Linked DNA regions of Drosophila melanogaster. The protein of the gene in region 1 interacts with the protein of each later gene in a biochemical or structural test. Each region holds a gene or a part of one and is shown on either strand. Other genes may lie near its edges.

Region 1 (6,492 bases):
AAGTGATGTAAAAACTATGCACAATTAGTTCCCATTTTGGAACTAGGAGAAGGGGAAATATAATCGTACAGATCAAATAATTTCCATGGCCAATGACGCCAACCAAAGACTATCACATCGGAAATACAAGGAAGGAGACCTAAACTAACGAACTCATATTGCTCCGCATTCAGTCGACCAGGTGACGGCCATGGTCCTGCGGTGTGGAGAAGATAATTGCGTAGATAAGGCCGTCGCGAACCGATTCGGTGGGGTTGCCCACGTTGAACATGAACTTCACGCGATTGCAGTTGGCATCGGGCACACAGGAGTACATGGGATACCAGCCGGTCTTGTTGAACACCACGTAGATCTTGTAGATCTGGTTTCGGTATATGTACACCGGTCGATCGAACGTGATGTCCAGCAGCGAATCGTAACGCACGCGTGCCGTGCAGTGCGTGTATGTGATGCGTGAGCCGTGCATGTCCTGGATGTGGGCGTACAGCACCTCGGTGTATCGTTCCGTAAAACCGGCAGAAGTCATCAGCTCGCCGCACAGCACGCGCGTGGGCACTTGGACGCCCAGGATCCAAATGTTGGTGTCCACCTGGAACGTTACGCCCGCATCCGTGACGCTGGTGTTGCGGAAGTCAAATTGCCGGGTAAGGGAGCGCATACAGTACGCGCGCACCATGTCGTTGTGCGAATTTCCAGCTGCGGATCCAGCTCCTCCAGCTGCAGCGCCGCCAGCGGGCGCCGGTGCGCCTCGATCGCCGCCATCATCATCATTGGCGGGCGCTGGGACTGGCGCTCCGCTCTCGTAGCCCTCGCCGAAGCAGCGCAGTGGTGCTGGCGCAGGTGCGGCATCCGGTGGGACGCCCACCGGTTCCGGCGGGCGGATGACCAATTCCTCGCCTGCGAAGCCGAATCCCGTGCCCACGGATCCGAAACGGGGCGCAATGCCCATCATCATACCGCCGCCGGAGGGTCCTCCGCTGCGAACTGCCGGTCCCGGTCCCGGGAAACAGACGCCCGAGGGAGCGGCTCCAGTGCGATACGAGGAGGACAATTCTCTCTGGGCGTGTCGGTGGCCCGACTCGTAGAAGTTGCGCGTGCTCCGCGACACGCAGAAGCCTTCGGGCATGTGACAATCGTTGAGCGAGGGACTGGAGATCTTAATCAGGATGGAGAGGGCCTCGTGCTGCTGCAGCAGCTTGGAACGGGCCGGTCCCTCCGCGAACTGCTGCGGCGTCATGGTGAGAAAGCGAATCTTTTTGACCGCCTGCCTGAGCATGGCGCCATCGAGAATGGTGCGCTGGGCGTCCATGATGTTAATCATGTTGGCGGCGGCATCGGCCGAAGCGTCGCTATCGATGATTACCAGGTCGTCGGAGCCGGAAGCCACGTCCAGCGGCGGGGAGGCAGCCGTGGGCGCAGCTGCAGCCGCGGCAGCCGCAGAGGAAGTGGAAGCCATCCCAGCGTCCGTTTCGAAGCTGTCAGCCTCGTCGTCCTGGTGCATGTGCTGCACCATGGCCGCCACATCGGGCTCCATCTTGATCTCTTCGACCAGCACATGGCCGGCAGCATTGTCGGGCGATTCCTTGGTCAGCACCTGACCTCCGCTAGCAGTCTCTTCCTGGCCGGACTCGTTCAGGATGCCCCGCTCACTGGCAAACTTCAGCAGGCAGTTGAACAAATCCAGCTCGGAGTCGATGTTCAGGCGATTCTGGTCAAGAATGGCCATCAGGGTGGAGACCTCGATGTCCAGGAAGCTGGGATCGGACAGAACCTCGCGCGTGTTGGCCGCGATCAGATCCATGCTGCTTTGCATGAGGCGCGGCTCATCGAACAGCTTGGCAAACTCGTACGCCCGGCACGCGTTTTTCGGACTAAGATCAGCCCAAAGGAAATGGGTGCAGCGCGTGACCACGTGGGGCAGCATGTACTTCTTGGCCACGTAGCACAGCTCGCAGGCCTTGTCGAAGGACCCAATGGTGATGCGGTCCGTGTAGATGTACTCCAGCATCGCCTCGAACGCCTCCGGCTGCACGTCCGGAATGACGATGGGGTCCGTCTTATCGGGCAGGTTGCCATAGAACATTCGCTCGAACACCGGCGAAGCCATGGCCAGTAGCAGCTTGTGGCCGGCAATGAGCCGCTGGGTGGGCGAAGAACCCACCAGAAAGCGGCAGTCGGCCCACTTCTCCGAGTGGAGCAGGTACTGGCCCCGATCCTTCAGCTCGGTGAGGCCGTTTTGCCAGTCGATGTCCATTGCCTGCGGTGGATTGGCTGGGATTGGGATCACTGTAATCCAAACGTTGTTCGCTCTGATTTGTGTGAATAATCCACCTTTTTGCGAATCGGTTTGGGATTTTGCGAAATTGTTATTATTTTACGATACCGATAATTGAATGCGTGCTTACCTATCGATTGGCTGTCGTACCGATAGCAGAGGTCTGCCAAATGGCGTAATAATTAAAAGTCATGTTATGAGCTTTCTAGCAAAAATACTTAAGCATTTAAGGTATTATCAAGAGTAAACTCAAATCTTTCTTTAGATTTTAAGCTGTGATTTCAAAACTGTGACTCCATAGCAGTCGATAGTTGTATTAAACCATCGAAGTTGCCACACTGGTGAGAGCATGGATGGTATCGAACAGATATCGATTCATGTTCCAGCTCTAGTTCTAATAGCAACAATTTCAAGCGAAAATATTAATTAATTCGGCGCATTTAAGACACGCGGAGAAAAAAGAGCTAGCTCGAGATACAGGATCATTGCTTAGGCGGCCATAACCGAGAGAAAGAGCGAAAAAGGGCAGGCGCTTCAATAATAATAATATCTCTTGTCACCTGCGCCCGTGCGTTTGTGTGTGTGTGTGTTTGCGTGCGTGTGAGTGTCGCGTGTGTTTGTGCTTTGTTCTGCGAGCGTTCCGTTGCGTTTTGGAAATGGCAAAGAAAACCTACGATTTGCTCTTTAAACTGTTGCTGATCGGTGATTCAGGAGTGGGCAAGACGTGCATATTGTTCCGGTTCTCGGATGATGCATTCACGTCCACGTTCATATCGACCATAGGTGAGTAACGGGACCGTACGCACATACTTGCATCTGTCCACCCGCACCGCACACACACACACACGCGCACATGTCAGCTGCACAGCCAGGATATATATACGTGTGTGTGGGTGTGTGACTGGGCGTGGCACTGCCTTATCGACTGGCCTATGCACTGCTTGTTTCGATCGCCTGCGGAGTGGAAAGCGGAGGAGAAGTGAGCAAAATATGCCATCTATGTGGCTATGTAACTCCCTGAACTTGAACTTTTCGTACTAAACTACTGCATGTTCGCAACACGTAACACAGACGTGTGATCATTTGGTTGGAATGAATGCTTCATATACGTCTAATGTAATGAATCATCGTGATATCAATGTCGAACTGCTTTATTTTATTCAATTCCAATGTAATCGATAACACCGCCGTGACGTCATTCGGCTCAAATTGCGTTGGTTTTTCCGCACTACATTTGCTTTCTCGTTCAACCGTTTTTCTCAGGCATCGATTTCAAAATCAAAACAGTCGAGCTGCGCGGCAAGAAGATCAAGCTGCAAATATGGGACACCGCCGGCCAGGAGCGGTTCCACACGATAACCACCTCGTACTATCGAGGCGCCATGGGCATAATGCTGGTCTATGACATAACGAACGAGAAGAGTTTCGAGAACATAGTCAAATGGTTACGGAATATAGACGAGGTAGGTGTTTCCCCTGCGAGTAATGGCCTTTTCTAAAGTCTGAAATCTTCTTCTTTTTTTTTTGTTTTAGCACGCCAACGAGGATGTGGAGAAGATGATCCTCGGCAACAAGTGCGATATGACGGACAAGAGGGTGGTCAACAAGGAGCGCGGCGAAGCGGTGAGCATCCCTCATCCACAGAGTGCCCCCACAACAGCAATCACTGTCAGAGATTAGGAAATATAGTCGTAGTTAGATCGTTAAGCTCTTCTGCCATAGGAGTTGAGTTCGGAAATCGATCATATATTAGTGTGTTTAGCTTTCAAAGCCAACTGTTTTTTACAAGCGAATTCCATGCCCCTTAATAGTTTCCTATTGTTTTGATTTTTTAAGATAAGTTTGCAAATTGAACACAGCGAATATATTCGTTCTCTGACAATCAAGACGAAACTATTTAGGTGCTATAGTATGTCCGTGGTAATGAATGCAAGGGAAAATTTCCGGAGGCATACAATTTATGTTAGAACTATTCTGGTTATTTATTATGATTGTTACTCAATGATCGCACACGCCCCACGTCTGTTTGATCAATTTGTTTACAAAGCCAATAACTTGCTCCCCTTCCCCATCTCTGCCCACGTTTTTTAGATTGCCCGTGAACATGGCATTCGGTTTATGGAAACATCCGCCAAGTCGAACATAAACATCGAGCGGGCCTTCTGCGAGCTGGCCGAGGCCATTCTGGACAAGACATCAGGACGCGAGTCGGCGGAGAATCAGGAGCGCGTGATTATCGATCGCCGGAACCAGGAGAAGGCGCCGGGCTACAGCAAGTGCTGCGCGTAAAAAGCGGCGTTCTAGGCGAACGGGGCGTGGTTTGGCCCGGTTTGTGCTCAGCTGTGCGTGGGGAAGGCGGCGAAGTACGGATTGGATTGGATTAAACTGGACTAGATTGAATTGGAATGGAACGAAACGAATCGAATCGAACCGAAAGCAGTGGGGACCGGTTTCTGAAACCGCTCCGCACGGACGAAGCAAAAAACAAAGCAATAGAGCCGGGGTCATTCGCACGTAGGAAACTTACTTATTACGAGGATACGCAAAATGGAACAAGCAACAGAAACAACCTACCTAAAGTTTAACAACAAGCAACAGATATTGTAATACGAACATTTGGAAGCAACTTTACAAAACTCCGAACGATGGATGGTGGTCGGGCATGGGCCACGTTAGTTAACGCCCACACAACGTGGACGCAAGGATCTGCATATCCATGCCGCACTCGATCGGTTGACTAACGTGGATCGGATAACGAGGATCAGCTCCAGCCACTGTCCAGCCACAAGAAACGATAATGATAGCGCTGATGTCGCTGACGCAGACATAAGCAACTTTTGTAACGTACTTTTGATACACATATAGTCTTACGATTCCTGTACTCAGTCATTCGATCGCTCGCTCGCTCGCTCGTTCGCCACCACTCGCACTCCCCAGCCGCCCCACTTAGTGTTTCGTTTTTGTTTTGCGTTTCAGCCTAGATATAAATAACACCTATACATATTATACATCGGATAGTAGTATATAGCCTATACCTACTTAGCTTGCTTTCGCTTTCTATGTCGACGCCAAGCCAAGCCAGCGAGGAGTTCGATGGGGCGGGTGGTGATGTACGCCCTGCTCTGCGTCCTGGCCACTCAAGCTTTCAAGCCAGATCCTCGGCCAGAGTTGCAGTTCCATAGGGAGTTTCGAGATCGAGGTGTTCCGAAATCGTTTTTGATTATTGCCTGTGCATATATATATATATATATATATATATATATATATATATATATATATATATATATATATAGATATTTAGATATAAATATATATTTATATATATATATACATATATGAAATTACACACCGTATATCGCATCGTTTTTATGTGCATTCGCGCCCGCACACCCAATTTATATATAATATATATGTATGTATCTGTGTACACTTAAGGGGGCTTGGGTGTGCGCGCGTATATATCTCCATGCTTGTATGTAAGGACGGTGCACGCCATCAATGTAGCATTCGCATTTGCATTCGCATCCGCAAGGGAGGAGCGCCCCAAACCGAACGCACCACCTAGCGCTCGCCTCCCGTCTCCTTGTAATTTTATTCTACTCTTTTTTTTTTGTCGTGTAAACCTATTATTTGTAACTGTATATGGATTTAGTTTAGTTGTCCACACCAAATGATTTACCGATTAAAATATAAAGAACAACCTAAACCATGTCATATAAACCAGTGAGTGATTCCTTATTTCAAATGGCAAACAATCATCGTTAAACAATTCATTTGAACATCCTTGGCTGCACTCACAAGAATCTCAAGCTCCTTCAATTGGAATGTATAAGTTTAACAATTTATTTGGAGAATCTTCGGTGTAGAATCCTGCATCCTGCATCAGGTAAATAAAAACAATTGCAACAGTTGCACATTCGATGCGCTACTTGACAGTCCTATGAACACATACGCCAGCGATCCAGGTGGATAGCACCCGGAGCTGGTCGTCCAGGAGAACGAAGTCCGCGTCCGAGCCAAAGTCCAGGGTGCCCTTCTGCTTTTCGATCTTCAGGCACTGTGCTGGATGCAAGGTGGCCGCCTCGATGGCATAGACCACGGAGCAGTCTGCAAAACGGAGTAATTAATGCGAATTCTAGCGGGGATCTCGCACTCACCGGTCGCCTTCTGGAAGATCCGCACGCACTCGTCCATCGGGGCGATGCTGCCGCACAGCG
Region 2 (5,853 bases), about 12 Mb from region 1:
ACACATTTCCAATCGGAAAACTAGGCCCAAACGTACGCTAATGTTGTTGGTGTCCAAATCGATGCAGGTGACATCCGTGGGCGGCTCGTACAAATCGAAGAAGCGCGAGTCCACGCCAATGAGATAAGGCAATGGGGCATGGAGCACCTCCGCCAAGCCCAGCGGACAAAGTGGGATGTACGGACACTGCCACTTGAACGGAAACAGCAGGGAGACAATGGCTTCGGCCACAGCAGTCAACGTGGCAGGTCTGCGGCGCGAATAAATCGATATGTAGGATACGGTAAGGATATTCGGTACATGTGATGCACATACCTGAGTGAGTGGATGAGTATCTTCTGTTCGGTGAGGGCCAGCAGCAGCACATGCAGACAGTTGTCGGTGCCCAGGTTCTGGAGCAGTATGTGGAAACCGGCGCCACTTCGCGGCAGCGGGGAATCTTCCGGCTGTGTGAGCAGTATGCGATCGTTGGACTCGCTGGACAGCTGCAGGTGAATGCTGGGCGCCGGAAACGGTACTTCGTCCAGCAGCTGGGTGATGTAGCGCTCCACGGGAATGGGTATATTAACGTCATACAGAACCATTCGCTATAACGATAAAACCAGATATGGATTAGATTCTATCAAAGTTATGGGGAGTGTAAGCTCACATGAAGGTACTTCAGCCATTTGTCGAAGGTGTCGCCAAAGGGATGATGCGACAGCAGACATATAGCCTTGATCATGTGCAGCGAGTGCTGGGCGCCGAACTCCTCGTCCCAACCGAGCAGCTCCTTCTGCTCAGCCGACAACTTTGACTCACTGAAAGTGTAAATCCTTAGTGTATATAATTTTTGAAATATATTCAATTGCAATTTACTCGTAATCCTCGTAGAAAGTTAACGCCGATCCGTAAACCTTGTAGGTGCCATCGCTCACGGTGAGCACAAAAGTGCTGAACACCGGACTGATGGGTTTCCGCTTCTCCGTGCCGTTGACGTGTGGCCAGGCCTCCAGGGAGGCGCCCATTGGCAGGCAGAAGAGCGGCACGCTCGGGCACAGATTCAGCGGGAAGTCGGTGTGGTCGAAGGTGGGGTAGCGCAGCAGGATCTCCGGCTTGTAGCTGATGTGCTTAGGCCGGTACATGGACTTCTTGTAGCACAGGTAGACGTCGCTGCCAACATAGCCCTTGTTCAGGGTCTTGTAGATTAGGCAAAAGGCGTGCGGAGCCCGCTCACCCTTGCTCTGGACAATGACGCACAGTTCGGTGACCACCAGCTCGTTGCAGGGCATGTCCGCTCGGGCGCGTCGGTACGTGAGGAACGTCTTCGCGGACGAGTTGTTCACATTGGCCACCCTGCCGCCAGGCGTCTCCGCAACGATTTCCGCATCCGACATGATCCGCTCGTGGCCATCGTACAGGACTCCTGCAAGAGTGGAAAAGATTAATATAAAAGTCAAGTTTTATTACTTAGAAATGACGACGCAAGCATTTAATCACCTATAACTGTACATTTTATATTGACTGTGAACGATTTTATTTGATTTAAATAAGCAACAATTTGTTGGCTTTATCACGAGTCGTGTCGAGATTACAATATTTAAATTTACTTTCGTTATCAAGAAATAAAGCCCAGTCTTTCATTTCGATTTCTTAAATCTACCAAAAATAACTTGGAGTTCTTAGAAAAAAAAAAAACACAACCGGCAGAAATGCACCCACCTATGTCCACCAGCGGCGGGCGATCCTTGCCACGCCGGAAGTAGATGTAGCAGTCGGTGGTGCGGACCGATCCGTGATTGAGGTTCGCCTGTAGACCCGTGGGCGTGTGCGAGAGGATCTCGTATCCCTCGGGCACCTCCTCGCCCAGCAGCGGGAAATAGACGCCGATGTCCGTGATCGGTTCGATGGTGGTGGCCGCTCTCAATCTTCCCGAGTCATTGAAGCTGTTCTCCTGCAGCAGCTGCGGATTCTCCGGCATTCCGGCCACCACAAAGTAGTCGGCGATGCGCTTTTCCTCCATGGCGGCGCCGTTTCCTCTGCAAGAGACAGCAAAAGACCCCGAGTGAGTGGTTAATTTCTTGGCATGGCGGGACTGGCAGACCAGATAAGATAAGGTCGACAGGGAACACCAGTTCTACTAGTTGCGGTGGCTCCCAATTTCACATTAATTAATATTTTGTTAAGTAATCATCACCTGGGGCCAAAGTTAATAGTTCTTCTTCCGAGGGTAAGATTCAGATAAGCGGCACGCACAAGTAATCGTGTGATTCCCTTGGTTCGTGCAACGGACATGAGGAAACATATATAAATCTTTATGTTTTTAAGATTTCATGAAAAGAAACATGTTTACTTTGCGGTTTTTCGAACGATGTGAAAATGATGTTATCTCTTGAAAACCAAATGGTAAAAAAGCTGAGAACTGATATCTTTAATATTTCATCACATCCGATCGCATTACCCACAAAGAAGAACCGCAAGATATTATGATTATTTTGTGGGTGACCCACTGGAGTACTGGTTGGTGACACCAAGCGCATGCTTCACTGTATCTTTGCCCGCTGGGCGCAAAATGCTTTTGTTTACATATCATATAATGTCGGCGTCCGATTGGAATTGCATGCATTAACTGATATTCTGATTGGACTTTGTATGCTGGCGACTTTTTTTTTATGCTTCGCGCGGCAGCAGCGACAAAAGCAACAGCAACAACAGCGACAGCAAGAACAAATGGAGCTGGGGAAAACAAGTTCCGCTTGATGATTCAACTTCCTTCACTTCCGCTTTACAGCACAATAGCACCAACGCATTTTGTTTGTGTTGATTGCTGATGCGATGTTTTTGTTTACAGGAGTCCAATTGGCAGGTGTGAGTGGAAGACGTAGGGCACAGGGCGCAGGGGAAGAGGGGCTGGCTGGTTAACTTACTGCACTCCCGTTAGTTGTCCTCCAAGGGGGCGCGGGGACGAAGGGGGCGTGGGCAACCTTCAGTTGCTTTTGCTGTTCGCCTTGGACTGCAATTGTCGCTTTTCCTTCGCTTTTCTTCTTCACACTACGTTAATTTCCACACACCAACACTCACCGCACGCACACACACACACACGCACACACAGTTGGACTACTTGAGAGTTTTCCTTTACATCATTTTCACAGTTTTCCAATTGGACTGCTTAACTGGGCCACTTTGACTAAGACGCGCCAAGTGCGTTGAAATCCACGAATTTAGCTACTTTAAAAGCTACGCAAATACGTGTGGAGTGCAGTGGACAGAAAAGTAAGGAATAATGTTCATTTAACTGGCCTGCCAGCCGTGTGCGCGGCTCGGTGTGACTGGCGGAATGTGCCAATCGCCTGTATGCGCTGCTTGGCGAACTATATAATTAACATGCAATACGAAACACGCGACTATTATTATCGGATTTACTATTATTAATAACTATTTGGCCTTTGCTTCAGGCCATTTTCAGCGTTGCCAGATAAGACTAGCTTTTGGTCTATCGATAAGCCTAAATGCTGATTACTTTGAAAGTATATCATCGCCAATCGCAAACTTTTTCCGCCTGGTTGAATTATAATTTTCAAAGACTAATTTCAAACAATTTGAACGGAGTAATTACAGAGGCCACTTACATGGATGCGTAATAATTTATTCTTTATTCTTTAATTTTGACAGCTGTTTTTTTATTTCTATTTGATATATTTAACGCTTATCAAATCGATAACGATGCCTTTGGATGCCTACTACTCTCGATAGACTCACCGTGGCATAAGTTGCCATCTCTAAATTTCTGGCCATCTCAATTGCAAGCTTGAAACGTGTGAAATATGGAACAAAATGCGAAGCCTAAACGCTCCTTTAAGCGTCCGTTTACCTTTCCAAAGAACTGTGTTTACCGCCCTCTACGTCAGATAAGCAACATGGAGCGTAGCCAGAAGCTGTCCGCCGAACAACCCACCTGTGAGTAAGCAATGAATGTGGATTCGCAACGGCATCCATATGTGTACTTCACATTGCAGACTTCACGCTCAATGCACCGCCCTCGTTGGTTCCGGCCAAGAAGTACTCGGATATCAGCGGTCTGCCCGCTCCTTATGCCGATCCGCACACGAAACTAAGGTTCGCCAGCGCCGACGAGTACGCGTCCATGCAGCACATGCCCTCGGACATCGTCAATGGCTACCTCATGGTGCGCGGCTATACCAGCGCCGTGGGATAGTTTGTTCGATCCATATACTGCATACATCCCAAGTACTCGCTGTGTTCCGCACCTGGAGGCCTTGCGTTGCAACTACCACTCATAATAGGCAATTAGAGCGCTGCTGACCTTACTCTTACTGGCATTGCGTGCGAGGCTGTTGCTTTCAAGTGATTCGATGACTGTTTCCTGCCTGGAACACCGCGTTCAAGGGGAGTTACATCCACAATTACCATATATATATATATATGCATACACTGCCTAAAAGGAGATGATCTCTGTAAATTAGTTATAGAGATTTGTCACTAGTTTGACCGCAAAAATAGATTAGGTAATTCCAAGGTGAGATGAATACCTTGGCGGTTTGAAAGTGTCTAAATTAACGAAACGGCTGCCACATAGATCCTAATGCGAAAAGCAAATATTTAAACAGCCGACTCGTGCAAGTTTGGAGTTCGCAATGAACGGCCCACAGATTAATATAGTGTTAAGTTAACCAGCTATACAAAATTCAGCAAGAAGGCAAAGTAAACAAAACTGAATAATATGATTAATGAGTTTAAGATATTATATTCATTTTCTTATCGGGCATTTTGGCGAAAGGACGATTTATAAATGTTTCATCAACTATATTCTATACTCGCATAGTCATTATTATTGTGTATTATTTGAGGACGATTTATAAATGTTTCATGAACTATATTCTACATTCGCATGGTCATAATTATTGTGTATTATTTAGCAGCTATCAGAAGTACCAAAAGCAAGTTTCTAAAACTTTTGTAATTACTGGGGCTTCTCCCTCGTTCGCTCAGGTCCTCCATTCGTCATCTCTCCCGAAAGTGTTATTCGAGCTCCAATACAAAGAACCGGACTAGTGGCTCCGTGATTCAACACCATTTTTCCACCTCATTCCATTTTGTGGCAGTCGACTCCGGCTTATTCCTTACGGCTTTGGACGCTAGCCAGCTTGGTTGATGGGCCGGCTAATACTGTTCGGCTGTGTCAGCATCTGCAGGTCCGAGCGGAAGCTCCTTGGCAGCCCCGAGATGTCCAGCTGGTGCTTGAGCACCACCATGGTGGCCAGGGTTTTTAGAGTGGGCTCAAAGTCGAGCACATGCAGATCGCTGTAGTCGATAAGCGCCACACCGGGCGGAACAACTCCGCCAGCCGCTGCGGCTCCGCCCGTCTCTTGAGTGGGTGAAACAGCTGCCGGCGAGCTGGAGGAGCCGCTCCTTGGACTGGTGCCGCCAAACAGGAACATCCTAGTGCCCATCACAATGGCGCACTGTCTCCGACGCGCCGTCGGTGCCTTGCCGTTGGCCCGTATCAGGTTCCACAGCTTGGTGCGCGGATCGAAGGTGTACAGATCGTTGAAATGCTGATCCAACAGGCCATTATAGCCACCGAAGACATATATCAGCTTGTTGTAAACGAACATGCTGTGGCTGCGTCGACCAACGGGCACCTTACCGGCCGTGAACGGTCGATGCCACACCTTGGTCTTCATGTCCAGGTAGACGATCTCGTGACAGTAGGTCTCCTCCTGGCTGTGGTACGGACTGTGCTTATCGCCCCGCCCGCCGAAGATGTACATTCGCTCCTGTTCGTAGGCCACCGACGCATGAAAATCTCTGTAGCTGGGCGGCACGCCAAATGTCTGAACATAGCGCCACTCC

Evidence for each region. Proteins that work in one complex are often made in the same cells at the same time.
Region 2: of the proteins of Rab10 (region 1) and Crag, one has a biochemical effect on the other in vitro, tested with the Drosophila melanogaster proteins (one study listed by BioGRID).

The regions. Positions count from the first base shown.
Region 1 is NC_004354.4:20,248,700-20,255,191, forward strand, and holds Rab10 (Rab10), read left to right. Parts: upstream 1-2,638; 5' UTR 2,639-2,931; coding exon 2,932-3,058; intron 3,059-3,538; coding exon 3,539-3,738; intron 3,739-3,808; coding exon 3,809-3,898; intron 3,899-4,366; coding exon 4,367-4,564; 3' UTR 4,565-5,992; downstream 5,993-6,492. Other genes in the region: CG17068 (uncharacterized protein), read right to left, coding at 170-2,254; CG17065 (uncharacterized protein), read right to left, coding at 6,201-6,382, 6,433-6,492.
Region 2 is NC_004354.4:8,589,645-8,595,497, reverse strand, and holds the start of Crag (Calmodulin-binding protein related to a Rab3 GDP/GTP exchange protein), read right to left. Parts: upstream 3,468-5,853; 5' UTR 2,907-3,467; intron 2,019-2,906; 5' UTR 2,003-2,018; coding exon 1,702-2,002; intron 1,406-1,701; coding exon 859-1,405; intron 801-858; coding exon 650-800; intron 588-649; coding exon 316-587; intron 251-315; coding exon 37-250; intron 1-36. Other genes in the region: CG12659 (uncharacterized protein), read left to right, coding at 3,804-3,936, 3,996-4,195; CG12081 (uncharacterized protein), read right to left, coding at 5,136-5,853. UniProt on the Drosophila melanogaster protein: Calmodulin-binding protein that acts as a guanine exchange factor for Rab10 and Rab11. Essential for maintenance of adult photoreceptor cells.